Linked DNA regions of Mus musculus. The protein of the gene in region 1 interacts with the protein of each later gene in a biochemical or structural test. Links are inferred from orthologs where the notes say so. Each region holds a gene or a part of one and is shown on either strand. Other genes may lie near its edges.

What was found. The genes of interacting proteins can lie anywhere in the genome.
Region 2: the proteins of Ppp1ca (region 1) and Ppp1r15a are reported together in a solved structure, tested with the Homo sapiens proteins (2 studies listed by BioGRID and IntAct, with this or other methods). The link is inferred for Mus musculus from reciprocal best matches to the Homo sapiens genes PPP1CA and PPP1R15A.

The regions. Positions count from the first base shown.
Region 1 is NC_000085.6:4,188,994-4,194,973, forward strand, and holds the start of Ppp1ca (serine/threonine-protein phosphatase PP1-alpha catalytic subunit), read left to right. Parts: upstream 1-3,180; 5' UTR 3,181-3,223; coding exon 3,224-3,278; intron 3,279-3,751; coding exon 3,752-3,883; intron 3,884-4,028; coding exon 4,029-4,259; intron 4,260-4,773; coding exon 4,774-4,878; intron 4,879-5,473; coding exon 5,474-5,697; intron 5,698-5,778; coding exon 5,779-5,913; intron 5,914-5,980. Other genes in the region: Tbc1d10c (carabin), read right to left, coding at 1-65, 220-326, 413-520, 871-970, 1,671-1,816. UniProt on the Homo sapiens protein: Protein phosphatase that associates with over 200 regulatory proteins to form highly specific holoenzymes which dephosphorylate hundreds of biological targets.
Region 2 is NC_000073.6:45,522,639-45,528,510, forward strand, and holds Ppp1r15a (protein phosphatase 1 regulatory subunit 15A), read right to left. Parts: upstream 3,631-5,872; 5' UTR 3,357-3,630; intron 2,754-3,356; 5' UTR 2,745-2,753; coding exon 1,101-2,744; intron 1,009-1,100; exon of another isoform or gene 825-1,008; coding exon of another isoform or gene 823-824; intron 685-822; coding exon 355-684; 3' UTR 279-354; downstream 1-278. UniProt on the Homo sapiens protein: Recruits the serine/threonine-protein phosphatase PPP1CA to prevents excessive phosphorylation of the translation initiation factor eIF-2A/EIF2S1, thereby reversing the shut-off of protein synthesis initiated by stress-inducible kinases and facilitating recovery of cells from stress.

The DNA.
Region 1 (5,980 bases):
GGCAGTATCCCTGCTCTGGCCGGTACAGGGTGTAGGCCTTGAGAACCTGCAGCAGCCCCTGCTGCCTGTGCCAAAAGAGCTCATTAAGGCTAGCCTCCCAGGCATCCCCCTGCCTGCCCTCTGTGGCCTCTGCCCAGGCCAGAGTCTCCCTCGTCCAAGGATGTAAAAGTAGAACTAAAGAATCTAGCATGAGGAGCGTGGGTATCCCTGGCCTCGTACCCGTGTCCCTGGGGTGACACAAACATCTCATGCAGAGGAAACTGACGGTGCAAGTCTCTGCCAATGGTCTCCATCCACTGCGGGTCCCCGGGGGCTGCTGCCAGCTCCTGTTGGTGGGAGGAAGGGAGATATGGAGGGTCAGGTGGCAGGGAGCTCTGAGAAGGGGTAGTAAAGATCCTGCCAACTTTCTTACCTGGTAGGTGCCAGGGTTGTTCTTCTGACACATCCGGGCCCCACACAGGAGGGGCCAACACCGGGCACGCAGGGCTGAGGGGATGCCCTTGCGGCACTGGATCTTTACCTGTGGGTGAGGTCAGATGCATTAGGGTTTCTTCTGCTCTCTTGCTCTCAGGCACAGCTTGCTTGCTTCTTTCTTTCGGTCTTTTCCTTCCTTCCTTTCTTTTTTTGGTTTTTGGATACAGGGTTTCTCTTTATAGCCCTGGCTGTCCTGGAACTCACTCTGTAGACCAGGCTGGCCTTTAACTCAGAAATCCGCCTGCCTCTGCCTCCCAAGTGTTAGGATTAAAGGTGTGCGCCACCATTGCCCAGCTCTAAGCACAGCTTTTCTTTGGTCAAGAGTCCACTTGGGAAGCAGAAGCAGGGGGATTGAGAACTTTGGGAACCAGTGTATGTACACCTCTTTTTCCTTACCTTCTTGTATCGTCGGGACATGGTCTTCTCCCAGTGTAAGGTCATTTCCACCCATTTCATCTCTCGCTGGCGGATGAGGTCTGCAGAGGGTTGACAAAGCCTGGAGGCACACAACAGACACAGTATCAAAGGTAAAGGAAGGGGATTTGGGTTTCAATAGGGATAGAAACTGGCCAGGCGTGGTGGAGCACTTTAATCCCAGCACTCGGGAGGCAGAGGCAGGCAGATTTCTGAGTTCGAGGCCAGCCTGGTCTACAGAGTGAGTTCCAGGACAGCCAGGGCTATACAGAGAAACCCTGTCTTGAAACAAACAAACAAACAAACAAACAAACAAACAGGAATAAAGGGATAGAAGCTGGAAAGACTAATGGGATGAGGAGGTATTTAGGGTAGGTCTATTTGGCTGTCCCCTAAAACAGAGACAGAGCTAACTCATAGGGGAAGCTGGGTGGATAGTGCCCTGGACTGGAAGCCTGAAGTCCTGAGTCTGAATCTGCTTCTTTTTCTGATCTGCTGTGCGATGTGTCAAGTTTCTGTCTGTGATTAACTGTGTAAGGGAAACCTGGAGAAGAGAAGACATCCAAATTTCCATCTGGGGTTCTTGGACCAGAGGTTAAAAGGGAAAGGATGTTCAGCTTTAGGGGAAGGTACAGATCGTCAGAGGATAAAGAGATAAAGCACACCCCACCCCCACCCCCACCCCACCACGCGGAACCGAGCAGTGACACCAGCAGCTGAGTTTTGGGCTAGTGTCCTCAGTCTCTGGACCCTACTCTCTCCCCTACCCATGCCTCACTCACCTCAGTTCACCTGAGTTGCCCCCAATGAAGCCATAACGGTCAGCCTGGCGATATGGACTGGGCCCACTCAGCTCTGAGTCAGACCCTAGGGAGCTAGAATCATCCTGTAGTTCTGATAACAAGTCCTCTCCCAGGGCCTGGGCCATTCTGCCCTGGACCCCAGTGTCACAGGCTGCAAGACATACAGAGAGCCAGTGTGAACAGCCAGACTCAGGCTGGGGATTCCAGCCACCAGTCCTCAGTCACAGGGGACTAAGCCCCCTCTTTTGCTGGGGAGTCGGGTAGACCCTGAGACCAAGTCTCTGTGCAGAGCCCCAGCCCCAAGCCTGGCCCCTACCCCAGCAGCCCGGCTCACCTCCTTGCTGCACCTCACCTCTTCTTCTCACTTCCTCCTCAGTCTCAGCTCAGCAGCTTGCTGGGGGCCCCTCCCTGGTGGGGGGACTCCCCCCTTCCTCTGTGAGGTTCTTCCTGCTTGCCCTAGTGCCAGAGCCACGACCTCCTCCCATCCAGAGGATGCTGGGTGTATTGATTCCCTGGCTGGCCCAAATTGAAGATGACAGGCCACCTTCAGTTTTACCAAGTAAAACCAATTTATGGTTCCAATAATAATTATCCTTTAATGTCATCCCACCCCTCCAACCCCCTGCCCCGGGTTTTTTGTTTTGTTTTGTTTTGAGAGTGAAGGGGTAGTGTGAGAACAGGGTCTTATGTAGCCCAGACAGGAGATGACCCTGAACTTCTGATCCTCCTGTGTCCAGACTCCTGAGTGCAGGAATTTCAGGCACTGGAATTATAGGTTTACGACACCAAGCCTACTTTAATGTTCCTTCCAGAGCCGGAGCTGGAACCTCAGGCCTTGCACATGCTAGACAAGTCCAAGTACTCTACAAAGGACTTACAACATGAACGAGATACAACGTATTACATCACTTATGGAAAAAAAATGGACGTAGCAGGCACCAAGGCAACCTGGACCAAAACACTGCTTAGAGTTCAGTAGCAGGTGTTCATGGGTCTGGCCATAAAGATGGAGGTGAATGTGAGGCTCCGGAGGTCTGGAGCCCACTCTCAGTATCATTAAGCCTTAGTTTCTTTTTCTGCACTTCGAGGAATTTATTTAGTGTTTGAGAAGTCAGCGATTAACATGCTCATACCACAGTCCCACGCAGGGCTGGGGTGGGAGAGACTTGGAAAGAGAAAAACAATTCCTACAGTACTTCCGGCCCTAACTCATCTGAACGCGGCAGGGCGATTCCTCCAGGGTGGAGCCGACCTAACCCCGCCCTACCGAACCCCGGCTCACCACCCCTGCCAGCCCCGCCCGCTCGCCCGAGGCCCTCTCGGGCTGCGGAGCTTCCCGTCCAGGGGAGGCGCTAGAGAGCGGGGAACTACGGACGCGGCAGGGCGGGGCGGGGCGGTCGACCGAAGAGGAGGGGCGGCGGGCCGGGGGCGGGCTGGGGAGGGCGGAAGGAGAGCCAGGCCGGAAGGAGGCTGTAAGAGGGCGGGAGGCAGGAGAGGGCCCGGAGCTGGTGGGCCGGAGCGGCGGCGCCGCCATGTCCGACAGCGAGAAGCTCAACCTGGACTCCATCATCGGGCGCCTGCTGGAAGGTGGGCAGGGGTAGGGAAGGTGCGCTCGCGCCGAGCCCGGGCCCCTCGCCGTCTGGAAGTGGCGCGCGGGCGGCCCGCCGCTCCCGGGGGCTAGCGTCGCTTGGGCGGGGACAGGCCGTGAGGATCCATGGCCACGGCACCCCCCCCCCCCGCGGGCGCCTGGGCTTTGGAGCGCGCTCAGAGGCCGGGGGTGCACGAGTGCCCGGGACTCAGGGTGAGGCTCCTGCGAAGCTAGCTGGGAAGGGATCCCGAAGCGAGGAAGCTTCGGCTGACAGGCTGCTGAGCACAGGCGTTTCTCTGGAGGCCCTCCGGGTGGCTAAGGGGTCGGATCTTGCCTTTGAAGGCCTGACGCAAAGGTTTCGGGGTGAGGGGGTGGGGGCTCACTTGCAACAGTTGCCCCTGTTAGGGGGGCGCGACACCTACCCTCGTCCGGTCTGCGAGGTCAGGGTCCCAAGACCCTATTCCGTACTCAGTGCAGGGCTCACGGCCTGGGAAGAACGTGCAGCTGACAGAGAACGAGATCCGTGGTCTGTGCCTCAAATCCCGGGAGATTTTCCTGAGCCAGCCCATTCTTCTGGAGCTTGAGGCGCCCCTCAAGATCTGTGGTAAATCCTTGCACAGAACCCTTTTGCTTCCTGAAAATAGCCCCTACTCGTGCCCCATTAACCGTGTTCCTCCACCCTTTAACCTATTGCTGGCCCTGGGGTCAAGTTTACATCTTGCACCTACCTAGTTTTCTCTGGTTCCCAGGTGACATCCATGGCCAGTACTATGACCTTCTACGGCTGTTTGAGTATGGTGGCTTCCCTCCAGAGAGCAACTACCTCTTCTTGGGGGATTATGTAGATCGGGGCAAGCAGTCTTTGGAGACCATCTGCCTGTTGCTGGCCTATAAGATCAGATACCCGGAGAATTTCTTTCTACTTCGTGGGAACCATGAGTGTGCCAGCATCAACCGCATTTATGGCTTCTATGATGAATGTAAGTGCTTTGAATGTTGCTGTCTGCCCAGAACTACATTCCCTGCTCTTCATGGGCCCCCTACATTGGTCTAGTGCCAAAAGACCCCCAATGATGAGCCCTGTAGGGCCCCAGCAACACGTCTGTCGTCCTTGGCGCTCAGGAGGGGCCTGGTGAATGGATGTACATGCAGGGCTGCCCATTTGCTAAAGCCACAGCCCTGCCTGATGACACCCCCTTCTAGTACATTCCTTAGTAAACATTTAGGATGCCTGTATGAATAAAACAGACCCACTCCTGGTTTGGCCTCATCCATGGGACCAGAGTGGGTACCACCATCATGGTTGGGCCAGACGAGTTCAGGTGTTGGAATTCTGGAAGGTAGATGAGGGTAGAGCAAAGAGAAGAATGTAAGCTTTCTTTGCTTTTCGGTCTTTTTTTCTCAGCTTTGTCCCTGGATGGGTGCACAGAAACCTAGACTGGGGTTGGGGGTTGGGGGTGTAGTCTTCCCTATGAGCCGCTTCCTTTTGCGCAGGCAAGAGAAGATACAACATCAAACTGTGGAAGACGTTCACTGACTGCTTCAACTGCCTGCCCATTGCAGCCATTGTGGATGAGAAGATCTTCTGCTGCCACGGGGGTGAGAGTGGTTGTGGGTCTGTGCTTGGGTTCTTGGGCCACATCCTTAGGGGCCTTGTAAAGTTAACAGAACTCTTCTCAGTTCCCTGGAATAGCGCTCCTTGAATCTCATCTTGGATATCGCTTATTAGGGGAGATTACCACACCCCCGTTTGTTTTTGAGACTGGCTTTCTGGGTAAAACCCTGACAGTCCTGGAACTCACTTTGTAGACCTGGTTGGCCTTGAACTCACTAGAGCTCCTGCCTATCTCTGACTCCCAAGTGATGGGATTAAAGGCATGCTCCACCCACCAGTTTGGTTGCACTCTTTCCTGTTGTGGCATGAGGCATCCTGTAGTCAACTCATTAATCTCCTTCTGCCCCCCCACCCCCGAGGTCTGCTATCTGTACTTCTAAGTGGTGGTGTCATATAAAGTGAGTTCCAGGACAGCCAAGGCCACAGAGAAATGGGGCCAGTGGGGAAGTAATGGATTCTGTCTCCCTGAACTTAAGGAGCCCAGATTAGCGGTGGGAACAGTGGAGCTGTCCCACCCCAGAGCTGGGCACAGGACAGCACTTGGTTTAAGGAACACTATTCCCACTCCACCACCCCCAGGCCTGTCTCCAGACTTGCAATCCATGGAGCAGATTAGGCGTATTATGCGGCCCACAGACGTGCCTGACCAGGGCCTACTGTGTGATCTCCTGTGGTCTGACCCTGACAAGGATGTTCAAGGCTGGGGCGAGAATGACCGTGGTGTCTCCTTTACCTTTGGGGCTGAGGTGGTAGCCAAGTTCCTGCACAAGCATGATTTGGACCTCATCTGCAGAGCACATCAGGTGGGCTGGTGGCCTGGGGCGGGCTGGGGGTGGGGGTGGGGTGCCTAACTTACAGACTAAACCGTTCCTGCCCTGGCCCAGGTTGTAGAAGATGGCTATGAGTTCTTTGCCAAGAGACAGTTGGTGACACTCTTCTCAGCTCCCAACTACTGTGGAGAGTTTGACAATGCTGGTGCCATGATGAGTGTGGATGAGACCCTCATGTGTTCCTTCCAGGTGGGTGTGGGGAAGAGGCTGCCCAATAGACGCCTGGCTCAACCCCAGGACCCTGATGAGTGTTTTC
Region 2 (5,872 bases), on another chromosome or scaffold:
AGATGTCGTCGTTGCACCTTGTGTATATATGCCACCCTTCCTTGTCCCTTCAATTTTTTTGAGACAGCCACACTATGTTATGCTTGTCTTGGAACCCAAGCCAGTCTCCTGCCTCAGCTTCCCAGTGCGGAGATTACTTGTGGCACCTTACATAAGGAAGTCCCTTACACAGGACTGTGTTTTAAGAGGGTCTCACTAGATCAAGTTGGTCTTAAACTAAAGTTTGGACACCATTTTTAGCCTCCCCGGAAGCTACCAATAAAGAACACACGTAAGAGTTTATCACTACAAATTAAAAGGCTTTATTTCTTATTCAAATAAATAAATAAATAAATAATAGGAAACTACTCAGGCTTAGCCCCGCCTCCCTCCCAAGTACAGGCTGGGCGAAGGGGTTTCACTGGGAAGGGGAGAGGGTGTGGTCACATCTTGGGTCAAGGGAGTGGCCTCAGAGGAAGAGCGAGGCTCGGACTGTGGAAGAGATGGGTTTCTAAGGCGTGCCCATGCTCTGGCCCTGGAATCAGGGGTAAGGTAGGGACCCAGCTTCTCCTCTGCCTGGGCAATGCGTCGAGCAAAGCGGCTTCGATCTCGTGCAAACTGCTCCCAGGGACCTCGACGGGCAGCTTGGGCTGGTCCTGCCCAGACAGCAAGGAAATGGACTGTGACTTTCTCAGCGAAGTGTACCTGGGGACGGGGACAATAAATAAAAAAGTCTGTCACGCAAAAATGTTTGGTATTTGAATAGTCACCTGCCTGCCCCTCTGATTCACTCTAAGACACAGATGTCCAGGCCACAACTACCACTCTCCCTGCCTCTTACAGGAGATTGCAAGAGAGTGAACACAGCCTTCCCAGCAGAGTTCATATGCAAGAAGTCGCAACCCATGGCTTCCCTGGAGTCTCCGCCTCCAACACACTTCCTTAGGGATTTTCAGGTCCCAGACTCTTCCTCCTCCCGACTCAGAATCTAGGCCCTTTGAATAAATTATATATTAAAGAAAAAAAAAAGGCAGTGTGGAATTCTATTGTAATCCCAGCCCTAGGACTATAAATTCCTGAGCCACAAAGTAAGCGGCTTTAGAATCTAGTCTAACACTCACCTTCCGAGCTTTTAGAGGAATCTCGGGGTCCTGATCCCGGGTGGGGGCTTTGAACAATCTGAGCCGCCTCTGCAGTCGAAGGGGCAGCTTAGGTGCAGCCCAAGGTGATTCTGGCTTCTCTCCGGGTAAATAGAAGGCCACCTGGAAGAGAGGGGGCTCTTCCCCACGTCCCTTGGTCTTCTCTCCTGGTAGACAACGCTGGGGCTGAAGGCAGGGACTCTGGCTTGAGTCAGCTGTTTCTGAGTCACCTGGGGCCACATTCTCACTGTCCTCTTCCTCTTCTGTGTCATCTTCTGTGTCCTCTCCTGGGCGATACACCCAGGCCTTCAGGAAGGGACTTGTATGTGGGGTGGCACCGGTCTGAGCTGTGTCTTCCTCAGCTGAATCCAAATCGCTGTTTTCTTCCTCTGTGTCCTCTCCTGGGCGATACACCCAGGCCTTCAGGAAGGCACTTGTATGGGGGGTGGCACCGGTCTGAGCTGTGTCTTCCTCAGCTGAATCCAAATCGCTGTTTTCTTCCTCTGTGTCCTCTCCTGGGCGATACACCCAGGCCTTCAGGAAGGCACTTGTATGGGGGGTGGCACCGGTCTGAGCTGTGTCTTCCTCAGCTGAATCCGAATCGCTGTCTTCTTCCTCTGTGTCCTCTCCTGGGCGATACACCCAGGCCTTCAGGAAGGCACTTGTATGGGGGGTGGCACCGGTCTGAGCTGTGTCTTCCTCAGCTGAATCCGAATCGCTGTTGTCTTCTTCCTCTGTGTCCTCTCCTGGGCGATACACCCAGGCCTTCAGGAAGGCATTTCCAGTACAGACAAAAGTTGTCTCAGGTCCTCCTTCCTCAGCCTCAGCATTCCGACAAGGGTGACCCTGCCCTGCCCTGTGTGCCTCTACCTTGGCTTCTCCCTCCTGCTTAGGCTTCTCTCTAGAGTAGTACTCCCAGGCTCTGGAGTGGGAGCCTGAAGAAGGAGAGTTGGAGGGGTCAGCCTTGTTTTCTGTTCCTTTTTCTTCCGTGGCTTGATGTTCTGCCTCCCCCAAGAAAGGCACAGGGGTGCTGGGTTTGTATCCCGGAGCTATGGAAGCAGCAGAAGCTTGGTAAGTCTTCACTGTTTCTCCATCCTCTTCATTCTCAGCTGGACCACCCTCCAGCTGTGATGTGGGATAAGCGGGCTCAGCCACTCCCTCTTCTCTAGCCACCACCTCCCCAAGCCTCTTATCAGCCCCTTGCAGGCCAGCGGGCTGTAGTGTGGCCTTGCCAGCTGTGCGTTCCATTTCCTTCTCTCTAAGGTCATCTTGTCCTGGCTTTGCATTGTACTCATCAACATTTGAAAGTCCCCAAGTTTCAGGAGGGGAACTTTCAGCTTCCACAAGGCAGAGCCTCTGGGCTGCTTGACTCTGTTCAGGAGATCCACTTTCTTCAGTCTCCCCATGAGGGAGGAGGTTACCAGAGACAGGGGTAGGTGTCAGCAGAGCCGCAGCTTCTATCTGATCTGCTCCTGTTACTGTTTTTGCCAGCCATGCCTCTGGGACTTCTGGGCCCCTCAGGCGGCTCCAGGCCCGACTGAGCAAGCCCATCAGTGGGGACAGGAGATAGAAGTTGTGGGCGTCCCTCCAGTGCAGGACATGCTGGGGTCTTGGGCTCGGGGCCATGTGTCTGGGCTAGAAAGGGGGGAAATTTGTTTAGAAGTCGCTCTGGGAAACAGTCTCGGGTCACAGCACTGAGTCATGGTAACAAATAGTCACAGCAGCAACACGTGAATGCCTGCCTCGAATTCCAAATAACATTGCTCACACCCAACTCTGCCACTTGGTTAATCTCTCTCAACACCCAAGCTCTACATCCTTAGAACCAAGAGCCCACACTCTTAAACCCTTCCCTTAGCCCCAGTCACAGTTCCTGGCCAGCCCTTCTCAGACCTGTAAGAGTCTGGCTTTTTAGTGACCTTTCGTTCCTCAAGCTTGTGTTCATGCCCCTAAAACCTCCCTCTGCCTACCCCTCGGACCCTGGTTATTCCTCCTGGGGTCCTTCCCTTTATTTGGCGCTATACAGATATTGCCGGTCGAGCCTCCCGGCCCCTTTCCCTTTAAACGAAGAGTGTAGACGTGGGCTCTCCTCTCTCAGACCAAATAAGCCATCTGGGCTTCTGTGCCTTTTCCCCAAACCTGGAATCGCCCTCCAGCTTGCCCCCTCAGATTCCACAACTCTCTCCAGTCTCCTCGCCAGAGAGTCCTCCCTCAAAGGCCGCCCCATCCCCCACTCACCGGCGGGCTGCACGTCACCCCGGGGGCTGAAGCGCCGGTTCTGGTTGCCAAAAGCGATCGTGGGTCCGGACTGCTCGCGAAGCCAGCGGGTTCATGTCGCCCTCAGGCGTGGGGCTCGGGGACGCAATGTTTCACAGGCTGTAGCAAAGGCTGTCCCGGCCGGCAAAGGGATGCGGGGTCGCGCGGGATATCGCATGTAATCTTCCACAAACTCAGAGCTGACTCAATCTGCGCCAACATCGTCCACGCGGCTTTTATACCCTGACGCGGCGCTGTGCTGACGTCACCGGAGAGGCGGGGTCTCGGAAGTCCCTGGGAAAGGTGGAAAGAGGAAAACAACACTGAACTTCTCGCGGAGACTCCGCGCTCTGTGAGGTCACCGCAGCTTCTCAGGCGTGCCCTAGGCTCAATCGAGAGAGCCGTCGATCTCACGTAATTTCCGAGCAAGTACGCGAACCTTATCTGGCAGTCACGTACCGTGCCATTTCCCTTTCCTTTTATTTTCTTTATTTGAGAGGCTGGGACTGGTTTCCATCTCTGTAATCCTCCTGCTACTGTCTCCAGAGTGCTAGGATTAAGGGCGTACACCAAGACTTCCGACCTTTTTTCTCCAAGCAAGAGTGACTTTTTTTTTTTTTTTTTTTTTTTTTTGGAGAGTGGGGGGGGTTCGAAACAGGATTTTTCTGAGTATCCGTGGCTGATCAGGCTGGTAGATCAGGCTGGCTTCAAACTCAATGATCCACCAGCCTCTACCTTCTAAATGTTGGGATTAAAGGTCCCAGCCACCACTCCCCTGTTAGCAATGGATTTTTATTAGAAGACAAAACACCCAATGTTTTTAAATTTTATTTATGTATTTTTTTTAAATGTAGGAGTGGTCTGTCTGCTTGTTTACCTACGTGCTAGAACAGGTCATAAGATCCCATTACAGATGGTTGTGAGCCACCTTGTGGTTACTGAGAATTGAACACAGGACCTCTGGAAGAGCAGCCAGTGTTCTTAACCACTGAGCCATCTCTCCAGCCTTTGTTTGTTTTTCCAAGACTAGTTTCTGGTTGTCCTGGAACACAACTTTGTAGACTAGGCTAGCCTAGAGCTCACTGAGATCCGATTGCCTCGGCCTCCTGATTCCCGGATTAAAGGCTGGTGAGATGGCTCAGAGAACAGTGACAGCCAGGCGTGGCGCACGCCTTTGATCCCAGCACTCAGGAGGCAGAGGCAGGTGGATTTCTGAGTTCGAGGCCAGCCTGATCTACAAAGTGAGTTCCAGGACAGCCAGGGCTATACAGAAAAACCCAGTCTCGAAAAAACAAAACAAAAACAAAAAACCAACACCCCCCCCACCCCCCGCCAGAACAGTGGCTGCTATCTCACACCTCACAGGCAAAAAAAAAAAAAAAAAAGACAAAAACCAAGATTTTCTTTTAATCTTTTTTTTTTTTTTTTTTTTTTTTTTTTTAAATTTTTTTATTTATTTTCTGTACATGAGTACACAGTAGCTGTCTTCAGACACACCAGAAGAGGGCATCAGATCCCATTACAGATGGTTGTGAGCCACCATGTGGTTGCTGGGAATTGAACTCAGGCCCTCTGGAAGAGCAGTGAGTGTTCTTAACCGCTGAGCCATCTCTCCAGCCCCCTTCTTTTAATCTTTATGTGAGTGTTTTCTCTCTCTCTCTCTCTCCCTCTCCCCCTCTCCTCTGTGTGTATATTATATATCATGTCTGTATGGTGTACAAGGAGGTCGGAAGATGGCATCTGATCTTGTAGAACTGGAGTTAAGATGTTTGTGAAGCTCCACATGGAGCAATCTGGGGACTAAATTTGGGTCCTCTGCAAAGAATAGCAAGCACTTAAGCCCTGACCCATCTTTCTGGTCCTTTAGTTGTTTTTGGTGGATCTGTCTGTTTTTTGTCTTGTTTTCAGACAGGGATTTTCAGTATAGCCCTGGCTGCCCTGAAACTCACTCTGTAGGCTAGGCTGGTCTGGAACTCACAGAAATCTACCTGCTGCTTCCTTCTGAGTGCTGAGATTAAAGGCATGTACCACCATGCCTGCCCAGTCTGTCTGTTTTGAACAGGGTCTTACAGTATGTCCACACTGTCCTGGGACTCACAGGGTAAGAATCTTGGGCAATTCTCTTCCTGTGTACAGAGGAGCATCAACCTCTTCTGAGGTCTGCCCTCATGGACCCTCCTTCTTCTATGTCTATTTTTTTTTTTTTTTTTTTTTTTTAGTGCACGTTTCTGTTTTCTTTTTTTTTGTTTTTGTTTTTGTTTTTTGTTTTTTGTTTTTTGTTTTTTGTTTTTGTCTTTGGACAGGGACCTGTGTTGTATTCCAGAAGTGCCTGGAACTTACTATGCAATCTGGGCTGAACTGAACCCGTGTAGGCCAGCTGCCCCGAACACTCAGCAGTCCTACCCAGTGTGGAGGTTACAAGAGAGTGACCTCAACACAGTGTGGAGAACCCTGCTAAACAGACTCTCTGTCTTCACAGGCAGGCATCTGCATTTTTT